6 linked regions of the Ovis aries genome follow. The main gene of each other region encodes a partner of the protein of the gene in region 6 in a complex. Links are inferred from orthologs where the notes say so. Each region holds a gene or a part of one and is shown on either strand. Other genes may lie near its edges. The genes, in order: UBA3, UBE2M, PRKN, KHNYN, NAE1 and NEDD8.

Evidence for each region.
Region 1: the proteins of NEDD8 (region 6) and UBA3 are in contact, whole or in part, in a crystal structure (PDB 3DBR), measured with the Homo sapiens proteins. The link is inferred for Ovis aries from reciprocal best matches to the Homo sapiens genes NEDD8 and UBA3. Residues at the interface, in NP_006147.1 of Homo sapiens: Lys6, Thr7, Leu8, Thr9, Gly10, Gln39, Gln40, Arg42, Ile44, Ser46, Gly47, Lys48, Gln49, His68, Val70, Leu71, Leu73, Arg74, Gly75, Gly76; in NP_003959.3 of Homo sapiens: Gly78, Gly79, Leu80, Gly165, Leu166, Asp167, Ser168, Ile169, Arg172, Asp200, Gly202, Thr203, Glu204, Lys207, Gly208, Asn209, Ile221, Cys223, Thr224, Glu226, Leu227, Tyr228, Pro229, Pro230, Ile310, Asn317, Tyr342, Val344, Asn346, Asp349.
Region 2: the proteins of NEDD8 (region 6) and UBE2M are in contact, whole or in part, in a crystal structure (PDB 2NVU), measured with the Homo sapiens proteins. The link is inferred for Ovis aries from reciprocal best matches to the Homo sapiens genes NEDD8 and UBE2M. Residues at the interface, in NP_006147.1 of Homo sapiens: Leu8, Thr9, Gly10, Lys11, Glu34; in NP_003960.1 of Homo sapiens: Asn42, Val122, Ser127, Tyr130, Gly131, Gln133, Tyr134.
Region 3: the proteins of NEDD8 (region 6) and PRKN are in contact, whole or in part, in a crystal structure (PDB 8WZO), measured with the Homo sapiens proteins. The link is inferred for Ovis aries from reciprocal best matches to the Homo sapiens genes NEDD8 and PRKN. Residues at the interface, in NP_006147.1 of Homo sapiens: Lys6, Thr7, Leu8, Thr9, Lys11, Glu18, Glu34, Ile36, Arg42, Ile44, Tyr45, Ser46, Gly47, Lys48, Gln49, Tyr59, Lys60, Ile61, Leu62, Gly63, Gly64, Ser65, Val66, His68, Val70, Leu71, Ala72; in NP_004553.2 of Homo sapiens: Lys151, Arg170, Leu187, Thr222, Ser223, Val224, His279, Gln282, Leu283, Gly284, Tyr285, Glu300, Leu301, His302, Arg305, Tyr312, Asn313, Tyr315, Gln316, Gln317, Gly319, Ala320, Glu321, Cys323, Val324, Met327, Leu331, Cys337, Gly338, Ala339.
Region 4: the proteins of NEDD8 (region 6) and KHNYN are in contact, whole or in part, in an NMR structure (PDB 2N7K), measured with the Homo sapiens proteins. The link is inferred for Ovis aries from reciprocal best matches to the Homo sapiens genes NEDD8 and KHNYN. Residues at the interface, in NP_006147.1 of Homo sapiens: Thr9, Lys11, Glu12, Ile13, Glu14, Glu32, Lys33, Glu34, Gly35, Arg74; in NP_001277186.1 of Homo sapiens: Gln649, Asp650, His651, Lys652, Asp654, Phe655, Gln658, Arg659.
Region 5: the proteins of NEDD8 (region 6) and NAE1 are in contact, whole or in part, in a crystal structure (PDB 3DBL), measured with the Homo sapiens proteins. The link is inferred for Ovis aries from reciprocal best matches to the Homo sapiens genes NEDD8 and NAE1. Residues at the interface, in NP_006147.1 of Homo sapiens: Leu8, Thr9, Glu28, Arg29, Glu31, Glu32, Lys33, Glu34, Gly35, Ile36, Pro37, Gln40; in NP_003896.1 of Homo sapiens: Asp177, Asn178, Ala179, Leu180, Tyr237, Lys240, Arg244, Asn273, Thr274.

What each region holds. Positions count from the first base shown.
Region 1 is NC_056072.1:32,550,179-32,554,223, forward strand, and holds the start of UBA3 (NEDD8-activating enzyme E1 catalytic subunit), read left to right. Parts: upstream 1-1,245; 5' UTR 1,246-1,255; coding exon 1,256-1,275; intron 1,276-1,460; coding exon 1,461-1,502; intron 1,503-1,747; exon of another isoform or gene 1,748-2,263; intron 2,264-3,317; coding exon 3,318-3,438; intron 3,439-4,045. UniProt on the Homo sapiens protein: Catalytic subunit of the dimeric UBA3-NAE1 E1 enzyme. E1 activates NEDD8 by first adenylating its C-terminal glycine residue with ATP, thereafter linking this residue to the side chain of the catalytic cysteine, yielding a NEDD8-UBA3 thioester and free AMP.
Region 2 is NC_056067.1:66,428,870-66,433,166, forward strand, and holds the start of UBE2M (NEDD8-conjugating enzyme Ubc12), read right to left. Parts: upstream 2,801-4,297; 5' UTR 2,270-2,800; coding exon 2,161-2,269; intron 1,034-2,160; coding exon 939-1,033; intron 822-938; coding exon 783-821; intron 671-782; coding exon 567-670; intron 316-566; coding exon of another isoform or gene 261-315; coding exon 197-260; intron 103-196; coding exon 1-102.
Region 3 is NC_056061.1:84,706,712-84,710,018, reverse strand, and holds the end of PRKN (E3 ubiquitin-protein ligase parkin), read left to right. Parts: intron 1-182; coding exon 183-295; 3' UTR 296-2,807; downstream 2,808-3,307. UniProt on the Homo sapiens protein: Functions within a multiprotein E3 ubiquitin ligase complex, catalyzing the covalent attachment of ubiquitin moieties onto substrate proteins. Substrates include SYT11 and VDAC1.
Region 4 is NC_056060.1:20,552,923-20,556,057, reverse strand, and holds part of KHNYN (protein KHNYN), read left to right. Parts: coding exon 1-49; intron 50-206; coding exon 207-337; intron 338-423; coding exon 424-520; intron 521-3,135.
Region 5 is NC_056067.1:34,109,976-34,114,254, reverse strand, and holds the start of NAE1 (NEDD8-activating enzyme E1 regulatory subunit), read left to right. Parts: upstream 1-1,479; 5' UTR 1,480-1,515; coding exon 1,516-1,568; intron 1,569-4,279. UniProt on the Homo sapiens protein: Regulatory subunit of the dimeric UBA3-NAE1 E1 enzyme. E1 activates NEDD8 by first adenylating its C-terminal glycine residue with ATP, thereafter linking this residue to the side chain of the catalytic cysteine, yielding a NEDD8-UBA3 thioester and free AMP.
Region 6 is NC_056060.1:20,759,894-20,762,816, forward strand, and holds the end of NEDD8 (NEDD8), read left to right. Parts: intron 1-1,188; coding exon 1,189-1,236; intron 1,237-1,404; coding exon 1,405-1,487; intron 1,488-2,053; coding exon 2,054-2,150; 3' UTR 2,151-2,423; downstream 2,424-2,923. UniProt on the Homo sapiens protein: Ubiquitin-like protein which plays an important role in cell cycle control and embryogenesis via its conjugation to a limited number of cellular proteins, such as cullins or p53/TP53.

The sequences.
Region 1 (4,045 bases), on a different chromosome or scaffold from region 6:
TGTGATGCTCACTGCCATTAATGGAAGGTCTCCTAAAAGCATTGCTGGAGACCCAGCACACATGAGCCTGTTTTGAGAAAGAAGGGTTTAACCTTAGTAGTTTCCACCTGTAAAGGAGTTTGGGGGAAAAAAAAAAAGTTTTTGGGTTGATGTTGAGACATGTGACGTGGAGAGGGGCTGGCGTCTGTCTCCTGCTGTGGGACTGCGGGCTGTGAACTCTGTCCCTCCATTGACTGTCTGGCACTGACTTTCAGCTCAATGAATGTTATTGAATTAAATTTGATTGGGGGATAATAAAGAACAGAGAGGAAATTAAATATAATTTATTAGCAGCTACATTAACTGAGTGCTAACCAGGCTTTATGCTTTCCATTTCAGCAATTCTCAAGCTTTATTTTGCACAGAATCATCCTGGGTTTAGTGAAGGTTGCAGGTAGGGCCTGAAAATTTGCATTTGTAACAAGTTCCCTAATGATGCTGATGTGGCTGATCAGGGACTATATTTTGAAAACACAATAGATTTCATTTAATTTCAGTCTTACAAGGTGAACATTATCATCCTCAGTTTACAAATGAAGACACAGTAGTGCCCAAAGTCTCACAGTTAATAGGTGGAGAGTTAAGGATTTAAATAAACTGTCCTTTCTGACTCACAATCTCATTCGTGTCCTGCTCCAAGAAAGGATATATGTATGTATGTGTATGTATATATGTGTGTGTGTGTTTTACTTGTTTTGAACATGATTGTTTCTCTTTATCCAGCCATTCAGACACATAGGAACTCAGGTGCGTGTGTGTGCAGACACATAGACACACACACACCCCTATGTATCTACCTATATGTCTGCAGCTCTATCTCTGACTCTGGAAAATAGTGCAAAGTTCTATCACCGTTTATTTTTAGGTGATGAGATGCTTTGCATATATACATAAATCATATAAACAAATAACATTTGTTATTTGTATAAATTGTAATTTATAGAATTTATATATATTCATAAATAAGCTACAGATGAGGTTGTATTTTCACACAAGATTATACATTGGGTAAGACTTCTCTAAGTGTATTTAATCATGACTTTAATTACAAAGAAGCCTTTAAACCCACGGGAGCCTCTCACAACCAGCCCCAGCAGCCCCGCCTCCTCCCCGCAGTCCCCGCCCCTCTTCACCGGCCCCTCATGGCCGGTCCCGCCCCGCCCCGCCCCTTCGCTCCTCCCACCGTGGGGGTGCATGGGAAGAGGCGGAGAACAATATGGCGGATGGCGAGGAGCCGTAAGTACCCGGGCTCTGCAGGCGCCCCGGGCCGGGCTGGGTTGTGAGAGAGCGCGGCGGTGGGCGGTCGCCGCCTCCACCCGGGGTCCTCCCACCCTCCGCCCCGTCCCCTCGCCCCCCATCCCCTCGCGGCGCCCAATGTGTAGCGTGATGCTGACCCTTCTTTTATTCTCTCTTTCTTTTAGGGAGAAGAAAAGAAGGAGAATAGAGGAGCTGCTGGCTGAGAAGTTAGTGCTGCCGGGAGGCCGGGGCCCTCTCCGGGGGCCCCCGCCTCCCTTCACCCCAGGCCTAGGGGACCAGCCGCAGCGGGCCCGGGGGGCTGGGAGGGGGGGCACCCGGAGCGCAGGCCGCGCGGCCTCATCCCCCGACCCCCACCCGCAGCCCCAGGGGCCCGGCGGGCCCTCCCGGTCTCTGTCTCGGGCGGGCGCTGGGCCCGGGTACCGCGCTCAGGTTCCGCGCCGGCCCGCCGGGGTGCCTGACCGAAAGGTCTTGCGGAAGGACCCTTGCGCCCCTCTTCCTCCATCCCAGATTGTCAGAGCCGAGACTTTGTCAGAAGGGAGTCTTACCAAAACACATGAAACGGACGATGGGCCTTTTTTTGGCCTTTCGGAAACACGGAGACAATAGTATTAATTGCAAACTTTTGATGAGAACTTTAAGTCTGGTATCGTACTAAGCACTTCAGTCATTTTTTGCAAAATCATTGGCTCTGAAAGGAGAGTGTTGCCTCCAGAGAGCTTATGTTCTCCATGTATTACACACCTGATTTCATATCAGATGCCTAGTTTTGTGCTAGTGAGACAGGTTTAAACGAAGTGTGTTACACCCCGGGCAGCATCACCTATTTTTTCTTCCTCCTTACTTGGGACGGGAAGAAAGTGCTCTTACAGTGGGCGTGGTGAGTTAGTCATTTCTGTGGCAGTCCTCAGTAGCAGGGCCTTAGGTATCTCAGAAAGTTGAATTTCAATCGCGAGAGGACTTGGAACAAGTTAAGTTTCACATTTCTTCCCACCTTTCATTTCATTCCACTTTTGCTTAAAATGACAGCTACGATTTGAATGTTTACTATATACCACGTATTGTACTAAGGCCTCTATGTGGATTATCTCTATCATTCTGATGTTAAGTAGCTACAGACAAGCTACAGATCAGGTTTATGGCTGTCTAGTGATCTGCTGAAGGTCACAATGCTATTAATTGTGGAACCAAATCCAGCTGTGACGTCAAACCCTGTAATCTTTATTGCTAGGCAATACTTGGTCCGTTTTGTAAAAATTGGATATTACTAAATATGTTTGAAATTGTGGGATTGTAGGAAATTTGAAAATTAAAAATAGTTACAAGGAAACATGAGTCTTGCAAAGAATAGAAAACATGTTTTGTTAGTGGAGTCCCTCCTTACTGGATTGTATGTTCTAAAAGGTTTGTAGATGGTATTGCCTACCTGTGATGTAATTATAATCTAAAACTTTGATTGTGTTTAGTGGCAATAGAAGCCACCTTATAGTCCTAAGAGATTCTTTTTTGAAAATTAGGACCCCAGAGAAAAATATGATGTTTCTCTCATCAGAAATAAGTTATACTTTTCAAACTTGGAAATGACACATGAGTTATGTTAGATGTCAAGCATTAGGATTCTGGAAGTGGAGGGATTTTTTTGGTTTTTGTTTTTTCTTGTAGCTTATATTTTCTGTTCCAAGGCTGTTTATAGAATAGATTGGGCAGTTTGCAGTGTTCAGTAAGTTCCAAATGTTTAGAAAGCCCATTTCTCGCTGATAGATCAGTATCCCAAGTTTGATTTTAGGTTATTTTAGGAACCCAGAAACTTACTGATTATTTCCTCAATCTGTTCTTAACTTTATATAAACTATATAATAGCAAGAAAAGACAATAAAAGCATAAGCGTAACTACATTGAATTATTACCCTTTGTATTTGAGCAGATCTGGTGTGGTTACCTTTTCATTTGGGAAAACCATATTAGTTGTAGGTGTGGCTTTTTCATACTGATCTTTGCAGCTGAATTTACTGTGTTCTGTGCAGAATGGCTGTTGATGGTGGGTGTGGGGACACTGGAGACTGGGAAGGTCGCTGGAACCATGTAAAGAAGTTCCTCGAGCGATCTGGACCCTTCACACACCCTGATTTCGAACCGAGCACTGAAGTGAGAATTGTTTATTTTTAAATAACTCCTCTAATAGTTTTATGTTGCAAATATAATAAGATGCTTCCTTTTTAATTTACTCTTATAATAAAAATACTAATAGAGTTGTGTAAGTTATCTTGAAATAGTAAATAGAATATTTGCAACTGATTTTATTTGAATATTTGAGTTATTTTCACATTTTTCAAATGTAATATGTTAATTTTCAAGAGTAAAATGACTTCATAACCTCACTTAAAATTATGTTATACTTCATTTAAAATTCCAGTTTAAAATTACTTTTGAGACACACCGTTTTAATCCCTGCTATGAAAAATTTAACTTTCATAGAGATATAGATGTGCTTGCTTAAATTTTGAAGTTTATTTGAAGTGAGTATCTTTACTTAGAAATTAATATAATTAGTTTTGGAATTGAATATAATTAATTTATAAGTAATTACTTAGAATTCAATATAATTAATTGCCTGTTAAAAAGTATAAAAAGTATGTGACTGCAGTATCATAGAGGAATAGAATTTGAAACTAGTAGTGTCTGACTTAAAGCAAATGTTCAGCTAGAAGCAACTTTTTTTTATTATGGGATGGGAAATATTCCTTTACAGTAA
Region 2 (4,297 bases), on a different chromosome or scaffold from region 6:
ACCACCCCGCATGGAGCGCTGCACATTCTGCTCAAACAGCCTCCGGTTGTTCTGCAGGACCTCGGCGGCTTCCTTGTTCAGTGGGTCTTCAGGGTTGGGCTCCTGTGGCCGGTATGGGAGGGGCAGGAGGTCAACAAGCCCAGAAGTCAGAGGGCCAACCTCCCCCAGCTGCCCTCCCACCCCCACCCCTACTCACCAAGAAGAGATACTGCAAGCCATAAATTATGGAGTTTATCGTAAGGACTGGCTTCCAGTCCTCTCTGTGGGCAGAGAGCATCATGATAGGGGCTGGTGAGCGGGCAGCCACCACAGGCCCTGCTGGGACCAGACAGGTCAGGCCCAGGGCATGGGACAGCACGATCGGGAAATGCTAGCGGGAGGGTGCAGAGAAGCACAGGCCAGAAAGCCAAGGTCAAGCCATGAGGAAGAAAACGCAGAGCTGAAGAGACAGAGGGACACACAGACCACAAGGGGAAGGGAAGGGAAAGAGACTGGTATAGTGCAAGGTCATGAAGGGGGCCTGGCAGGCAGGGCTGGGCAGCGTAGTGGAGGGCCAGTGCCCTCACCTGAGGATGTTGAGGCAGACGTTGCCCTCGAGGTCAATGTTGGGGTGATAAACCATCGTCTCACACTTCACCTTGGGGGGGTCATGCGGGTAACCCTGGCCCACCTGGCTCCAGGAGAAGAGAGGGCAAGTGGATAGGTGCACAGCAGTGCCTGGCTGGGGCCTCAGCTGTTGCTTCCTCAGCCCAGGGAGCCACCCCTGCACACCTGAGACTCACCTTAAAACTGAACACAAACTTCCCGCTCTTGTAGAAGCCCTGTGAAGGAAGAGGAGAGGAGTCAGAACCCCACTCTGCAAGGCCCGGCAGGTGAACCAGCCAACTTGAGGTGGTGTCACCTGCCGTGCCTGAGAATCCAGTTAAGCGTGCCCTCACCTCATCAGGACAGATAACCAGCTTGAAGTTGAGGAGGTCGTCTGGATCTGAGAAACTGATGTCACACGTCTTGGGCAGATTCAGCTCGTTTATGTCTGGGTTTTCACAGCAGAGAAGGGAAACAGGCCAGGAAAGGGGGAGATAGGGGGTGCTCAGAGCAGGTGCCAGCAGAGCCTCCATAACCTCTACCCAGGACCCCAGTTCTGTCCTGGGCAGTGGGCCACCCCCTCCTCCCTCTCCCTGCTCCTTCTGCTCCGCGTCTCCAGGCAGGCTCTTCCGTATCTATGGAACACTGCAGATATGCTGGAACTCCTGGGGGGCAAGCTCTAACTCTTCTGAATCCAGTCGTAAGTCCCCCAGCCCAGCTCCTACATGTTCCCACTCCTGTGTGTCCCACCCCAAATCCAGCATCCTGACCGCGACCTCCGCTTTCTAGAGGAGTCTCTACTTGTCTGCGCAGATGCAAGGATCTTATTTCCCTTCCTCACCCTAAATCACCACCCCCCCCAGTCCCTGGCCCCCACTGTCCATACACTCCTCTCTGCTTGTCGTCCTAAACTCAGGATCCCATCTGACCTCCAGATCTGTGAGTTCCCAAGCCTCCTACCCTATACTATTCTGAGCATAAGAGTTCCAGCATCTCTAGCAGGATGGTCTAAACCCAACCCTACTCCTATCTCTATAATCCCTGGTACCCAGCATCCCTCCCTCCTCCTGTCACCCCAAACTGACATGTGACTCACCCAGACCCACGACACCCAGGCCCCAGAACCCACTTCACCAGGTCTGACTCTGATTCCCAGTGACTCTAGCGTTAATACACTAAATCTCCCACCCCGATCCTCAATCCTCGGCCCCACTGTCCCTATCTCCTCTTCCTGTCGCCCAGGTTCCCATCTGACCCCCCGACTCTCGAGTTCCCGGTCTCCCTCTTCCGCTGCCACCCTCAGATTCTCGGTCCCTAGTATCAGACTCCTAGCTTTCCGAACACGCTCAGTGCCCCCTGCTCGGCCCCCCTACCTCCGACCACTTTGGTGATTATATTACCCCATCCCCGGCCCCTCGGCCCCCAGGCCCTGGTCTCCGATCCCCACATCCGCGGCCTCCCCGTTTCTGACACCTTTGACCCCTGGCAGCCGCATTACTCCACACCTGACTCCCGTATCACCCGGAGCCAGGCTCTGACCTCCGACCTCCACTCCCATCCCCCGACTCCCCTTACCCTTCTGGATCCGCAGCTGCGCCGCCGACGCCTTCTTGCTGCTGCCCTTGGTGCCGCCCGCCGACTCCTCCTCCTTCTTCTGCTGCTTCAGCGAGAACAGCTTGATCATCCTGCCGCCGCCGCCGCTGCCGCCGCTGCGGGGCCCGGGACCCCGGCCACCCGGCCCCCCGCCGCCGCCCGCGCCGCCTCCGCCACTCGGACCCGCCGCCGCGGCCTCTCCGGCTGCTGCCGCCGCCCGCCGGGCCTGCCGCGCTGCTCCGCGCCCACCGCGCGGCCCGCGTCGGCTCCCGTAGTCGGCTCTGGCCTGGCCCGGCGCCTCGGGCCCGCTCGGCGGCGTTCGGGCCCGCTCGGCTGTTCTCGGGCTTACTCGGCCCCGCCCCCACCCGCCGCTCCCTCCTCCCGGCCGTCCGCTCCGGCGTCCTCAGGCTCGGCTGCGGACGCGGGGTCCTCAAGCCGTGTCCCTGGGCCTGGTCACTCGCTCTCTTCGCGAGGGCTCTGCGGCTCGAGGCGGAAGGGGGAGGCGGGGGCTGCGATGGCCGTGCACTAGACAGGAGGGCCGGCTTCCGTGGCAGCAGCGGCTTCGGCGCGGAGGTCCGCAACGGCCTCGGGCGCCCCACCGCTTCGGCTATTTCCGTCGCCTGCCCGCTTCGGCTCTTCCCGCCCGGCCTGCGCTGTGCGCTTGCGCAGCCGCTGCCACCGCCCCACGTTGCTCCGCGCTGGGACTTGGGGATCGGGCTCCTTCGGCTTGGTTCGGGTATTTCCGTTCGTGCGGGCCGGGCCGGTCACTTCCGGGGACGCCCGCGAGTCCAGGGAGGAGGGGGATGGCGGTGTCGCCGCCATATTTAAGTGGGGCAGATGCAGGCCGCCTCACTTGCGGGCCGCCATGCCCACTCGCAGTTGTGCGGACGGCGGCATAGACGGGCCAAACAAGGGGCTTGACCCCAGGGGCCACAGACGGAGGCAGGGTTAGAGTCAGAGCCTGAGCAAGGCCAGGAGCGTGGCCTAGAGTGCATGACTCAGAACCTTCGGGGTCCCATCTCAGGCTCAGAGAACCCGCCTGCAGAGTTTGGTTGAGGTAAACTAGCAAATAAAACGTGTCAGAGGATAGTATAACACTGTGGAGGTTTACACGGGCTCACACGCTTGGGGGCAGCCCTCCGCACGGGTCTAGAGTTTGCCCGCAGGCGACCCCCGGCCTTCCGCCATCTCCGTCCGCGAGGTGGGCGGAGCCAGCCTCCCCTCCAATCACAGCTCAGCGTGCGTTGGAAGGCGCGAGCAGGCGGCGCGGAGCGGTTCTGCGACTTCAGGCTGTCACCGAGGACTCCGTCAGGCGGTGAGCGGCGCCACGAGGGCTGGTCGGGGCGGGGGGCCGGGCCCGGGGGGCGGCCGGGGCTCTGCCCCTGAGCCTTCCCGCGACCGAATGAGGCTCCTGCCGCACGACCCACCCCGTCGCTGAGGCGGCGTGCCGCCGTCTTCTGGAGCACAGTGGGAGTAGTCCGGCGGCCCAGTTGGGCCCGCGCTAGTGGTGGGCCATGGCCTCCTCTTGGCTACCCCGGCCCGATCCTCACCCCAGAAAGTAACCTCCACCTTTTCGGGCCGTGATTTGGCGTCCCTGCCGACCCCAGCCTCCTCTCGGGTACCCTCGGCGTCCTTGGGCTCCGTGGTCTCATATCCTAGTCGTGGCTGTTGCAGCCGTTCCCTTTTTCTCCCGCTTGCATTCTCTTTCCTCCATTCCAGAAGCCCCCCTTCAACCCTCTGGTCGTCCTCGCCCCAGACTGCCGGCTTCGTTGATTTCCTTGAGAGCTGTGTGCTGGAGAGGTGCTGGGGTGAGGCTAAGCGATTGGAAGCTGCAGAAAACCTCAGGTTTGGGGCGGATGAGATCGCAACCATCCTAGTGTTCTCAGGCTTCAGGCATGACTGTTCCTGGGACGCGGAGGCCTCTTTCAAACTCAGTTTTCCTTTTTGTTCTTCTCATCCGCTCTACTCTTGGTGATTATTTTTGTACGGCACGTGAGGGTTGATGACCATCCTGCAGTTTCCAACCAAAGTCTCAGGGATGGTTTTTATTGGCCAGCCTGGTTCATGTGTCCATCCTCAGGCCAGTTAATGAGACCCTTCAGCTAAGGTCCCATCTCGG
Region 3 (3,307 bases), on a different chromosome or scaffold from region 6:
ACCCGTCTGCTCCAGATTCTTTTCCCATATGGGTTATTCACTCCGTTCTTCATGAAGGTCAGATGTTCAGTCTCTGCCCCTTCCGTTGCTTGCGGTGATTGCACGGGAAGTCATCTGTGGGCACGCGGGCGGGTGTGGGAGTGTCGCCCAGGCGCTCACCCGTGTCCCCTCTCTGCCCGCAGGAGGATGCATGCATATGAAGTGCCCGCAGCCCCAGTGCCAGCTCCAGTGGTGCTGGAACTGCGGCTGCGAGTGGAACCGCGCCTGCATGGGGGACCACTGGTTCGACGTGTAGCTGGAACAGCGGCCGCGCAGGCGCACTCAGCCGCCATCCTGCTGGGAAGTACACGGCGCCCTACTATCTTCTGCTTTTTCCTCTCTCTACACACACACATACACACACACACACACACACACACACACACACACACACACACACACACACACACACACACACGTTTCCAGTTCTTTCCAAAACCACCAAAGCAAGGTTATCGGAGAAGCTCCCAGGATCCCCGTCTCCGGGCCCCTGAGAAACAGCGAAGCCAGTGATGAGTCCCGCCGGAAGTATTCTCAAGCCCCGAAAATGCACTCACAGTCAGAGCACAGAGGACGGTGCCGTTCCCCGTCTGTGTGCGCTGTCATTCTTGATTGAATTCGAGTCAGACTGGATAAGTACATAAAGACGGATTTCTCAATTACCTGCCTTTTACCTTCAGCAAATACTGGGAAGAAGCCTTTGGTGGGGTGGGGAATGATTTTGAGGGACTATTACCTGTGGTTCTTTGTAAGACTGCAGTGGATTCTGAGAACTTCATGCCCGGCTTAAATAGCAACGGACTTATTTAAATCTTCAGGAAGCATGTGTTCCCAAAGAGCCACAGGCAGTAGTCAAAACTATGTGTTTATCCCCAAGAATTCTATATTTATATCTTGCATTAATGAAACATCAACTCTGCATGAATCAGCTTGTCAACTAAGTGAGAAATTATGAAAGTTAATCTGAACATTGAATGCTCAAAATGGATGTATTTGAACATTCACTCCATTTAACTCTCTGCAGCTTTAGAAGTTGTTTTTCTGAAAACATTACAAAATCTAGAATTTGACTTTAAGCATTCATTTTGAGCGTGAAAAATAAGCTCATACGTCTGGCTTCACTGTACATGTGACAAGGGGCCTCTAAAGGAGACACTGTTAGAAATCAGTTCAGTGATGATTCTCAGTGTTAATAAACACGCAGTTTATTAAAGCAGAATCTCTAAGGAAGGAACCTTTCCAGCCCGTCAGAATGAAACCAGGCAGATCGGAAGGGTCATGCTCTTTCTATCTGCCTGGACAACTTTAATTACACTGTTTCATATCAGAGTATATTTTCTTCTGGATCTCTTTCAGATCTGATTCAAATTGCAGTTGTCAAAGCAATAAGACGCACAGGGAAACTGCAACAACAAAAGTGCCTAGAAAGGATAAGGGGGTCACTGCTGACAAATTGTGATGTGGAATCAAAATACAACATAAGTGTAATTAACCAGGTTCAGGGCAACCCGCACGGGGGCTCTGCCCACCCAGTGGGTTACTCAGAGTTCTTTTCTCTACGATTGTAAACTCACAGGAGAGTTTTTCCTCACGTTAGCACAGCTTGAATTGGATTGCTGATCAAGTTTTCATCTTTGTTTTATGCGTCATTCGCAGTACATCAAAGAGAGATGCATTTTCGCTGAATGCCACCAGCCTCCCTCTCCAGGGCACAGTGTGCGGGTGGAACAGTCTCACCGCTGCCTTTTGTTCTCATGGTCCACCTTCTCGGGAAGGTGGTAACAGTCCCTGAGGGTGTGATGACTCTCCTGTGAGCGCAGGGCTTCTTTCGGATGGATTTGGAGACCGGTAGCCAGCCTCATCTTTGTAGAGAGAGCACCAGAAATCCTTGCTGGAGGGAGAGGGCGGGGAAACCTCAGCAAGCTCCCGCAGATGTCCTGTGCCCCCTGTCCCTAAGCGTCCATCCAGGGACTGCCCACCCTGCTCCCTCCCGCGGAGGTCCTGAACCTGGAACGTGATTGGTGGGAGACAGCCCCGTCAGTGGGAAAGGAGTCACGCAGCTTCACTCTGTTGATCCAGCCTCCCCATCATGGCCCCAAGGCTGCTGGCTCCTGTCAGGGTCCCTATGGGTAGCACAGAGATGATGCAGAGCTGGTGTCTCGAGTGAGAAAAAGGCAGGGCACCGGGCTTGAGCCACCCTTGCGGTTGGCTGGCATCAGGGCTCAGCCTAGAACCCACTGGGGGCCCTCCTGCGCGTTACCAGTGGTCCCAGCGGCTCCTTACTCTGACCCCGCAGGACAGTTAGGTGGCTCCCTCTGTCGTGGGGAGCTCCCAGCATTTCATACCCTCCATGGGTCTGAGGTTTAATGATGCTGATGTTATTGCCTGCTCCCCGATTTGCATGGTTTGTTGGGGGTGCCAAGCTGAGCAAGGTTTGCTCCCGCTTGTTCTGGCAGTAGAAGCTCTAGGTCTCTGCTCTTTTCCTGATAGTAGCCTTCTTTTTTTTCTTTTTTTCTTTTTCAAAATAGCATAAATTGATTCTTAAAACAAGTTAAAGGATAAACAGCCACTGTGAATGAGGCTGAATCACAAACCACTATAAATGAACATGTCTGAGCACTGAACGGTGTCACAAAAATCTGAATCTAGCAAAAGAAAAGAAAGTTTTCGCAGAAGAGTCTTTATTTTTTTTCTAAGTTGTGTAAGGAAATACTCGGCAACAATTGTCTAAGGTCATACTCAAATTGTCAATAAAAGAATCAAAAGAGCGTCTGAGTCCATCTTTGAGGGTACGTTGTCCATAAACGCTGAAGGCAGGGGAGGGTGGCCCAGGGTGTGTCTCTCGTGGCCGGAAAGGGTTGCCGAGTGCGCCCGTGGCCATCCTGGTCTCCACCCCGAGCTCCTGACTCGTTCTGGTGGTTTGTCTTCTTTCTAAAGATTGACTTGTTTAGTTCCCTTTGTGCAGTGCGCGTCATTGTTGCTGCGCTCTGGCTTTCTCCAGCTGCGGCGAGGGAGGGCTGCTCTTCCTCGCAGTGGGCAGGCTTCTGGTTTTGTGGCTTTTGTGGCGAAGGGCTTCAGTCGCTGCGGCACATGTGTTCAGCAGCTGCAGTTCCCGAGCTCCAGAGCACGGGCTCAGGGCTCGCGGCACACACATTTAGTTGCTCCGTGGCATGTGGGGTCTTCCCAGACCGGGGATCCAACCCGTGTCTCTTGCATTGCTAGGTGGATTCTTAAACCAAAGTGGACCACCAGGGAAGATTCCTGGTTG
Region 4 (3,135 bases), about 210 kb from region 6:
AGCCAGACCTCCGCCATATCGTCATCGATGGCAGCAACGTGGCCATGGTGTGAGTACCTGGTGGGGCTGAGGGTCCCAGGGAGGGGATGAGGTAGAGGTGGGCAGTTGTGTTCACCCTGGGGACGTGTGCCAAGCGGAGGGCAATGCAGCCAGGCTGCCAGGTCTCCACTCGAGGGCCCTTGAGTGCTGACCCCTTCCCACTGCAGGCACGGCCTCCAGCACTACTTCTCCAGCCGGGGCATTGCCATTGCCGTGCAGTACTTCTGGGACCGAGGCCACCGCGACATAACTGTCTTTGTGCCTCAGTGGCGTTTCAGTAAGGACTCCAAGGTCAGAGGTGAGTTGGACCTGGTCTCTTGTGTCTGGGGATGGGCCCTGAGTTCACCTCAGGGATAACCCCATTGTGCGTCTCTGTTTCTCTAGAGGGTCACTTCCTGCACAAGCTGTATTCCCTCAGCCTGCTCTCCCTCACACCCTCCCGGGTCTTAGATGGCAAGAGGATCTCCTCCTATGATGACAGGTACTTGCTTCTCCCTTGTCCACAGACTTGACATTCAGGGAGCCTGGTGGGAGACTGAGGGGGAGACAGAAGCTCTGGCCCCTTCACACTAAGACTTGAGTCATGGGAAAAGGGCCGCTTCTCCGTGTGCCCCTATGTCTGGGGAGGTGAAGCTGCCCTGCAGACAGGATGAGATGGAGGGTGAACAACTCTGTTTCATCCTTCACTTTTTTACTGATCAAACTAAAGGATGCTTCGTATTTATATTAATAGTGCCTTACCATCTAGAAAACACTGTTTTAATGGAAACATGGGAAAGCTGGTGGTACGAATAGCTAGCTGACAAATGCCTCTTACAACCTAGATGTCCAAACACATAGAGAAATTCTCCAACCTTCTGGGAAAACCAGAGTAAATGATCCAAATAATGATAAATAAAGCATGGATTCCATGCATAATACGGCTGTACAAAACATGGTATTTAAAAAAAGATAAGTGAAAGATCAATGGTCTTAGAATTTGAAGGTCTGAATTTGAGCCTCAAGTTGCATAGTTATTGTAGATTCTCTTAGTGGATTAACCTCTTTGTCTTAAGTTCCTCTTCCATTCATTCATCCTCCTTGTGAATGTCAAAAGAAGCTAAGGTATGTGCTTGCCTCACTCAAGGTGCTCTGCCGGAAGACAGTGATATTCGTTAGTTTTTCAGGGACTCAATCAAGTGTGGCAGGGCGTCTTATCTCCATTGTACAGAAATGGAGACAGACAGAGGGTTGGAGTAGTTAGTTCTCTTGGCAAAGGCTATGACGTGGCAAAGGAAAAACGAGAACTTAAAGCTGCTAGATGGTTTAATTGAAGAACACAAGACACATTTCCTCCCTGGTGTACAGAGTGTGGGAGACAGGTGGATCTTATTATTCTTATTTTTCAATAGGCTTTTTTCCCTCCCTTTGGCTGCATTGGATCTTTGTTGTGTCAGGTGGGGTCTTAGTTCCCCCAACCAGGGACTGAACCCTCAATCCCTGCATTAGATGGTGTATTCTTAACCACCGGACCGCCAGGGACATCCCATGGGTGGATTTTAAAAGCTAACTAACCCATTTGAAAAAATTACAGTGATAAGTTCTTTATTCTCCAGGATTCTGAATTTTAAATTAAAAAAGAGTTCCCAAGCTGTACTGATTATATATTTTGTTTTTTCAAATACTTAGCTTTTACTCCCTAACAGGTAAATGGTATTCTACAAAAAGACAATTCATGTTCTCCCAGTGCAGTTCTGTTTTAGGCCTAGATTTCACAGGTTATCCGAAATACAGAACCTTCTTTACATGCCATATTGACACAATTAAAACTGAAGGTTGTCACTTGTAATAAATTTTGAAGGCACGTGTCTGCACAGTTGTGTAGGTCCTGACAGGCAGAGGCACAATATAAATTTTGTATTTTGCCTAGTTACAGTGGCATGTAGCACAGACCTACTGAATACTGGAGAACAACATACGATCTCATGTGGTAATAGTACAGTTATCCTTAATTTGAAAATACCTTTTGTGTATTATATGGTACCCTATATATTTATAATGTCATCTCTTTGTTTCCCAGATAGAAGCTCAGAAGCAGACATCTGTCATACTGAATGCTGGTTAATGGTCCCCTATATACCACACTAGGGCTTCCCTGGTGGTCAGACAGTAAAGAACCACCTGAAGTGCAGGAGACCCGAGTTCCATTCCTGGGTCAGGAAGATCCCCTGGAGAAGAGAATGGCTACCCACTCTAGTATTCTTGATGGGAGAATCCCATTGACAGAGGAGTGTGGCGGGCTACAGTCCATGGGGTCACAAAGAGTTGGACACGACTAAATGACCAAGGCTATACCACACTGTTTTTCAGATACTGACTGCCTGTGGGGTCCTAGGTGTCTGGGCTGCCGAAGGAGGCAGGAATCAGGGAAGACTGCATTCATGACTTCAAAAAGCCCAAAGAAACTATAAATCAAACACTACAGAACTGAGAGGAAAGGGATCTCCCTTCTGGCTGGGGTCTTGTGGGAAAGGAAGGATTTGAGAGTTTTTGTTGATTGACAAGGATATCGGATGCACTGGATCTCTTGGTTTCTAAACCTGTTAAAAGACTTATCTCATGAGTTCTACCCCACTCCTGTGGAATCAGAATTATTAAAATGGGGCCCAGGCATCTTTTTTTTTTTTGACGTTCCCCTTGTGATCCTATCAGTGAGGTCTGGTTTCCTTCCAGATGGAGGGAATAAAGGGAACAGTTTGAGAAACATGAAAGTCGGACAGTGCAGGGCATGTTTGAAGAACAAGGTGAAATCTGATCGTTGGTTTTTGGCAGGAGCTATGAGTGCATTAGGGAGGATGGGGAGAGATAAGGCAGTAAGAGTGGCTTGGAGCTAGTTGCTAGGCCTTAGCTGCCAAGCCTGGGAAGGGCAAGTTTGGAAGACTTGTGTAGGGGAAGAGCATGTTCTATCAGGGGAGGAGAGGCTGGAGGGTGGTAAATGGCTGGGGGCAGGAGACCGCCTTATCAGGAGGCTATGCAGTGGTACCTCAGTTGCATTGTCCAAGTAGTGCAGGTGGTAATGGCAGGACTGGAAATGAAGGAAGCGGAGTGGAAGGCCTC
Region 5 (4,279 bases), on a different chromosome or scaffold from region 6:
ACTGTCAAACCATGCCCCTTACTCAGTTCCCATCCCAGGGTGGGTTGGGGTGGAGATCTGTGCTCACTTTCACCTTATTTGAGGTAATCATTAACCTGAAGATGCCTGTAGTGTCTGTGAAATAGGAAGGAATCCTCATGTCCCCCTAGTCCCCTCTCTCCCCACCTTTCTCATGGAGTAGCCCCATTCCTTGGCAGCCATCCCCATAGGGATGGTTCTTTTTAGGAAGTGCAGAGCTTTAAATTCCTCCTTGATTTTATGTTCTCAGTCTTCACAACCTGGCTCCTACCACCTCTGAAACTTTCTCTGACCACTCCTTGTTGTTGCTCAGTTGCTAAGTCATGTCCAACTCTTTTGCAACTCCGTGGTCTGTAGCCCCGCCAAGCTCCTCTGTCCATGGGGTTTCCCAGGCAAGGATGCTGGAATGGGTTGCCATTTCCTTCTCCAGGGGATCTTCTTGACCCAGGGGTCGAACCCGGACCTCCTGCATTGGCTGGTGGATTCTTCACCACTGAACCACCTGGGTGACCACTCCCTACCCTTCACCTAACTCTGCTAAGTAGCTTCAGTCGCGTCCGACTCTGTGCAACCCCAGAGACGGCAGCCCACCAGGCTCCCCCATCCCTAGGATTCTCCAGGCAAGAACACTGGAGTGGGTTGCCATTTCCCTCTCCATTTCCTTCACCTAACTCTACATCACACCAAACTTCCTTTAGTGCCTCAGCCTGTCATGCCTTATCTGCCTCCCGGGGATGACATCTGCTGTTCTTTCTGCTTAAAACACTCTATCTTGCCCACTTGGTGTGAACATTCCTGGAAGAGGGGAAGTAAGTAGAGTTCCTCTGCTCACCTCTCAGGTCCTCAACTTCCCTCTACCTATAGGAGGGTCATATTGTCTAAGGAGTACTCCTTCACTGTCTCTCTCTTCTTGGGACAGTGAACTCCCCAAGAACCGAGTCCCGGACTTATTCCTCTTTGCATCTGCAGCCAGGAGCAGCTAGCTTTGTGGTTGGAAACAGACGCTCACTGTGGGCTTCTTGCCTGAGAGGATGGAAGAAATGGGTGAATAATAATGCACATAATAATGAAAGTTCTTCCGACAGGATTTTTTTTGTGAGTCCTGTGTGTTCAAAATCTCACTTAAGGTTAACAGAACAGGATTTGAGAGGTAAAGAGCGTAAACCAGTGAGTGGTGAAAATCGAAATCTGCCTGATTCCAAAGCCCAAGTTCCCCACAACTACCGAGCGTACAAAGTCACGGATTGGTCGACCAGAAGGACTGCTGCACGGGTAAGGCGCGACTACCTTACCGGTGGTCACCAGACCCGTTTCTGAGGTTTGGCCGCAGACTCCCAGGTGTACAGGTGACGCGTGCGCAGTGCAGTGGAGGCGCCCCCTGCCGGCCGCGCGCGGGAGACGGCGCGGCAAAGGGGCGCTCAGTGCGCCTGCGCGCTCGAGGAGGCGGTGGCAGTTTTCGGTAGTGGCCCGGCGGTTCTCCGTGGGGCGGGCGCGGCCATGGCGCAGCCGGGGAAGCTGCTAAAGGAGCAGAAGTACGACCGGCAGCTGAGGTGAGCCAGGGCTCACCGATTCGGGCGGGCCAGCGGGTTCCTCTGCGTCCGGGCCGGGCCTAAGCGAGCGGGCGGCGCGGTTGGGCCTCTCTCGGGCCTCCCGCTGGGCTGGGCCGGGCCGTGCGTCCAGTGCCCAGGGTTCCGGCCTGGGGCCCCGGTGCTTCTCGAGGGCCGGCACTCGCCTTCCCCGAGGGGCGCGCCCGCCCGCTCGCCACGCGGTGTGCAGGTCGAGGTGCACCGCCCCCAGCGTCCGCCGGGTCACCGCGGCGGCTGCCGGTTCCGCCTCGCTGTGCTCCTGGTTTTGCAGAGTGAGGGGCTCGGGACTACCCCATCTCGGCCGCCGAGGGCAGCACCGAATGTTAGATATTGTTGTAAACAGGCGCTGTCCAGTAGAAATATAATGCCAGTCTCATATGAACCACATACGTAGTTATATATATGTGTATATATAACACATGTATATATGTGTATATGTAACATAATATTTATATTTGTAGTCACATTAAAAAGGACAAAGAAACAGGTGAAAATAATTTTAATAATTCAGTTTATTTTGTTTAACCCAGTATGTGCAAAATATTACTATTTCAACGCATAATCAGTATAAAAAGTTATTAGAGATATTTTACAATTTTTTCATTCTGTCCTCAGAATCCAACATTTTACACTTTTGGCGCCTCTCAAATTGGACTAGCCTTATTTTTAGTGCCCAGGAGCCACATGTGGCTAATGGACTAATGGATATCTACTTAATGGACTGTAGGTCTAAGTCATCCGGCTAGTCCTTAACTTCTTCCTCTCCCATGCCTTGTCTCCTAACACTCCCCATTCCTTATTTATTGAGCATTTTCTATGTGGTTAAAGGGCTTCCATGGTGTCTCAGCCGTAAAACATTCACCTGCAATGCAGGAGACCATCTACAATGCAGGAGACGTGGGTTTCATCCCTGCATTGGGAAGATCCCCTGGAGAAGGAAATGACAACCCACTCCAGTATTCTTGCCTGGGAAATCCCATGGACAGAGGATCCTGGCGGGCTGTTGTCTCTGGGGTCACAAAAGAGTCGGACATGACTTACAGACTAAACCACCACCAAAGGCAGCAGAAATAGCGCAACTATATGGCCTCTCTCCTTTCTGAAGACCCACAAGCCAGAAGTTACAGTATGTCCCTAAGGACCGGAACTCGCTTGCACCTCTGGCTTAGTGCTGTTGTTAGGGGCTTTATGCACTCAATTGTGAGAGCAGTCTTGAAGGCAGATATTCTGTCTCCTTTATAGATGGAAAAACTGACTCTTTAAAGTTTGATAACCTGCCCTGAGTATCCCATGTGTTTGAACCAGTATGTAAACTCAAGCCTTCTGGCTTTTCCAGAGCTGATAAGGTCTGCTCCCTGGGGAAAGGGAAAGGAAAGTTTCTGGGGAAAGAAGCAAGATGGTAGAGACTTTGTAACCAACTTGTGTTCTCTTGTAAATTCTTGGAGATCCTTGTGTTTTGAAGCAGAGGTAACCATACATGACAGAGCTGATAAAATATTTTAGATTACTAAGTACCTGTGACAAAAGAGAGTTTTTGCTAAATCGAGTCCATTTAAGGAACAAACAGTGAAAACTGTTTATTGGTTTTGAAGTGTCAGAGGGAAGCAGTTACAAGCAAGATTGTGCCACCAGCTAGCAGTCAGCAGGCCCTGCCTTCCTTAGCCAGCAAGAGAATGGAGAGGATTGATTTTTGTTTGGGCCATTTCTTGAAACGTATTACCTAGAGATGCACCAATAATCTCTTAGGCTCTTTCTCCAGCTACCCAAGTATCCATCAACCAGATATGCCAAGTGTTTTCTGTGTGCCCTACTTTCGTAGGAAAAAAACAGAGGTTTCCAGTCTGTCTGGTTCTTCTAGACTCATCCTCCATGCATTTGACAACTATTCAATGATTATTTATCCTGGACAAGGCACTGTATCAAGCACTGGGGCTTCAGTGGTGAACGTAGGGAGTGGTCTGTGCCCTTATGGAACTTAGAGTGGAATGGAGAGATGGATGTTCAGCAAATAAAACACCAGATGAGGCAGTTACAGTTGTGATTTACTCTGGAGGACGTACAGGCTACATCATAGGAGAGGATATGCTTTAGACAACGGACAGGAAGCAGCTTAAAGTCTCTGTCCTCCAGGTTATGACATTTTTCTAATGATTTGGGCTTCCCCTGTGTTAAGAAAAGACACATTAGGCTTTCTGGGCAAAGGTTGCCATGTTAGCCCAGCTGTCATGATGCCTGTTTGATCACATATCTTGCCCTGTTAATGATATGCTGGTGTGACAAGATGTAACATATTTCAGGTTATAACACATTTCTAATCCTTATTACATCTTTCTGTTTGTTAATGTATGCATTTATGAGTCATGCTGTTAGAATTGGGAATAACATTTTAAAGCACTCCTGTAGAAGTCAGTGTGAAGGCTTTTCAGATGGTACTTCAGTTTTCTTGGTAAAGCTTTTCTCACTCTTGAACGTGTCATGGTGGATCAGTATTATGTCAAGATCTTAAATTACACTGGATCCCTGTAATTTAAGGAGAAATAAAATAGAGGATGCATGTCTGCTTAGTTGCTTCAGTTGTGTCCGACTCTTTGCAACCCTGTGGACTGTAACCCTCCAGGCTCCTCTGTCCATGGCATTCTCCAGGCAAGAATACTGGAGTGGGTTGCCATGTACTC
Region 6 (2,923 bases):
GTATTTAGTGAGTGAAGTCGCTCAGTCGTGTCTGACTCTCTGTGACCCCAAGGACTGTGGCCTACCAGGGTCCTCCGTCCATGGGATTTTCCGGGCAAGAATACTGGAGTGGGTTGCCATTTCCTTCTCCAGGAGATCTTCCTGACCCAGGGATTGAACCTGGGTCTCCCGCATTGTAGGCAGACGCTTTACCGTCTGAGCCAACAGTGTATTTAGCCTTTCCATTAATATTTATCGACTGCTTATATGTCAAACACCATACTTTGTGCTTAGACTGGGAAGATTGAACAGTCTCTGTCCTTTAGGAAGTTGGAGTGTAAATTGGAGAGTTTGACACTTAAAACAACTAGCTGTAATATCTATTAAAGTGCATTGGTAAAAAAAAAAAATTAAAAAAAAAATAAAGTGCATTGGTGACAAGTCATCAATCTTAAAGGGTCCCTTGAAGGTTTGAGAAAGATTGGAAGAGGGGATGGCAACAAGGAAAACAGTAGAAGCAAAGAAAATGTCCCTAAATTAGACTGTCCATTTGTAGTCTAGATTACTGTAGACTGATGCAGGTGGCGCTTTAAGAGCAAGAATGGATGGGAGATAAGATTGGATGAAGCACAGCATTTGTAAGTGTATGGTTGTGTTTTGGGTATCAGCAACCCTTAGCCTATGGAATAAGTCAAGAAGACCAGAGCTGCAATTTTAGGATTCAGGTGAAAATCTGGAGAAGATACAGGAGAATAGAATGTTGAGTTCTAGTATTGCTTAAAAAGCTGGTCAGAGGTGATCTCTAGTGTCCTTGAGAATGCTTTGAATTATCTGAGTGTTAATTTCTAGCATTAGTACATAAAACAAGGTCCTTTTCAAAGGAATACTCTCCTTAGGTCAACTCTCATTGCTGTCTTATCCAAAGGAGTTATAGTATTCTCATGGATTCTAATTGGGTGGGGAATGAGATGACCTGTGAGATTAAGAGGTCAAATGGTTTACAGACTCTTCCCCTGTCAAAGTTGTTCACAGCCTAAAAATGTCTGAAATTGGGTCTGAGCAAATACTCCTGACACTTCAAATCAACTTTGCTGAGAATGTGCATTTCTCAGGAGGGAGTCAATCCCCCAAGGCTAGGCCAGGATGTTTTACCTAGGAGACAAATTGTATACTGAACTATAAGACTTATGAAAGCCTTGCCTATTTCAGACGCTGACCGGAAAGGAGATTGAGATTGACATTGAACCCACGGACAAGGTAGTGTATGCCCAGTACCTCTCCAAGCCTATCTCCCTACATGTGCCTTTGCCTGGGTATGCTGATGAAATTAGTCCTTTTGCTCTCATGCGATCTGCATAGCTCTTGTTCTTTCCACTTCCATGGTCCCTCCCCCTGAGCAGCCCCTGACTACTTGTACCCCTAAAGGTGGAACGAATTAAGGAGCGTGTGGAGGAGAAAGAGGGGATTCCACCACAGCAGCAGCGGCTCATCTACAGTGGTAAACAGATGTAAGTATGGAATGGAAATGAAGGTATGGTGATGGGATTTTTTTTTTTGGCTATGCTAGGTCTTTGCGGCGCTGGCTTTGCTCTAGTTGAAGCGCGTGGGGTTCTCAATGCCGTGACTTCTCTTGTTGCAGAGCACCAGCTGCAGGGCGTGTGGGCTTCAGTAGTCTCAGCTCCCGGGATCTAGGGCACAGGCTCAACAGCTGTGGTACATGGGTTTAGCTGCTTCTCAGCATGTGGGATCTTTCCAGATCAGGGATTGAACCTCTGTCTCCTGCACTGGCAGGTTGATTCTCTGCCACTGAGCCACCAGGGAAGTCTGAAAATATCTCTAATTTCTCTTGTTAACAGGTTACCTATATTGCTAATTCCTCTGTGGGCTTTTGTCTGTGTTCAAAATTGAAAGAAATATCAAGTTACAGTTGGGGGTTAGTAAAAACATAAAAGATGTAATTTATTTTCTCATATGCACTCATAGATCTCCAGAGATCCATGAAACCCAGGTCAAGAGTGCCACTCTAAAGGGTGTTGCTAACAACTTGTTTTCCTGTTTTTGCCTCTTCCTGTAGGAATGATGAGAAGACGGCAGCTGACTACAAGATACTAGGTGGCTCAGTCCTCCACCTGGTGTTGGCTCTGAGAGGAGGGGGTGGTCTTAGGCAGTGATGGACTCCGCTCCGCTTGACCTCCCTGCCCTGTCACTCATAATGAGGCATCGTATATCCTCTCCCTCTGTGGGACACCAGAACCACTCCCCGCTCCCCTGGCTGCCCAGTCTTGTGTGTCTGCTGGTGGGAGACTGTGAGGACCCCAGGAGGCAGTGTTCCTGGCCCAGAGGGCCCTTGCTGGCTACTGGGTTTTAGTTTGCAGTCCTGTGTGCTTCGCTCTCTTATGGCTGTGTCCCTGGTTCTCAATAAAATATTTCTTGACCTCCTGGAATCTTTCTTCTATTGCACAAATGTGACTGAAATCAAAGTGGACCCAGGGAATTCCCCAGTGGTTCAGTGGTTAGGATTCCGTGCTTTCACTGCTAAGGGCTAGAGTTCAGGCCCTGGTTGGGGAACTAAGATCCCACAGAACCAGTCGGATCTTAGTTTTGGGTGTGGTAAAAAAAAACCCAGAACGGACCCGGTGCACACCCAGTTACACCAGGCTGAAGGACTGTGACAATGGACAGGAATGCACCCTTGGAGGAATTCTCAAACTGTAAGTGTATATACTCAGGAGTGTGCCAGAGCCAACTGTTACTTGTGCCAGAGTTAATCGCTGGCATCTTTCCCAGCCCCATATTAACTGACTTCATGTTGGTAGCTTGAAATTGGCCACGGTCAGAGTATTTACAGAAATTGACAATACAAATCAGTCCTTCCCCCCAAACTGGTTGTTAAATATCTTTCAGCATACTATTGATGTAGGTGTTAGAAACCAGGAGAGTGAGT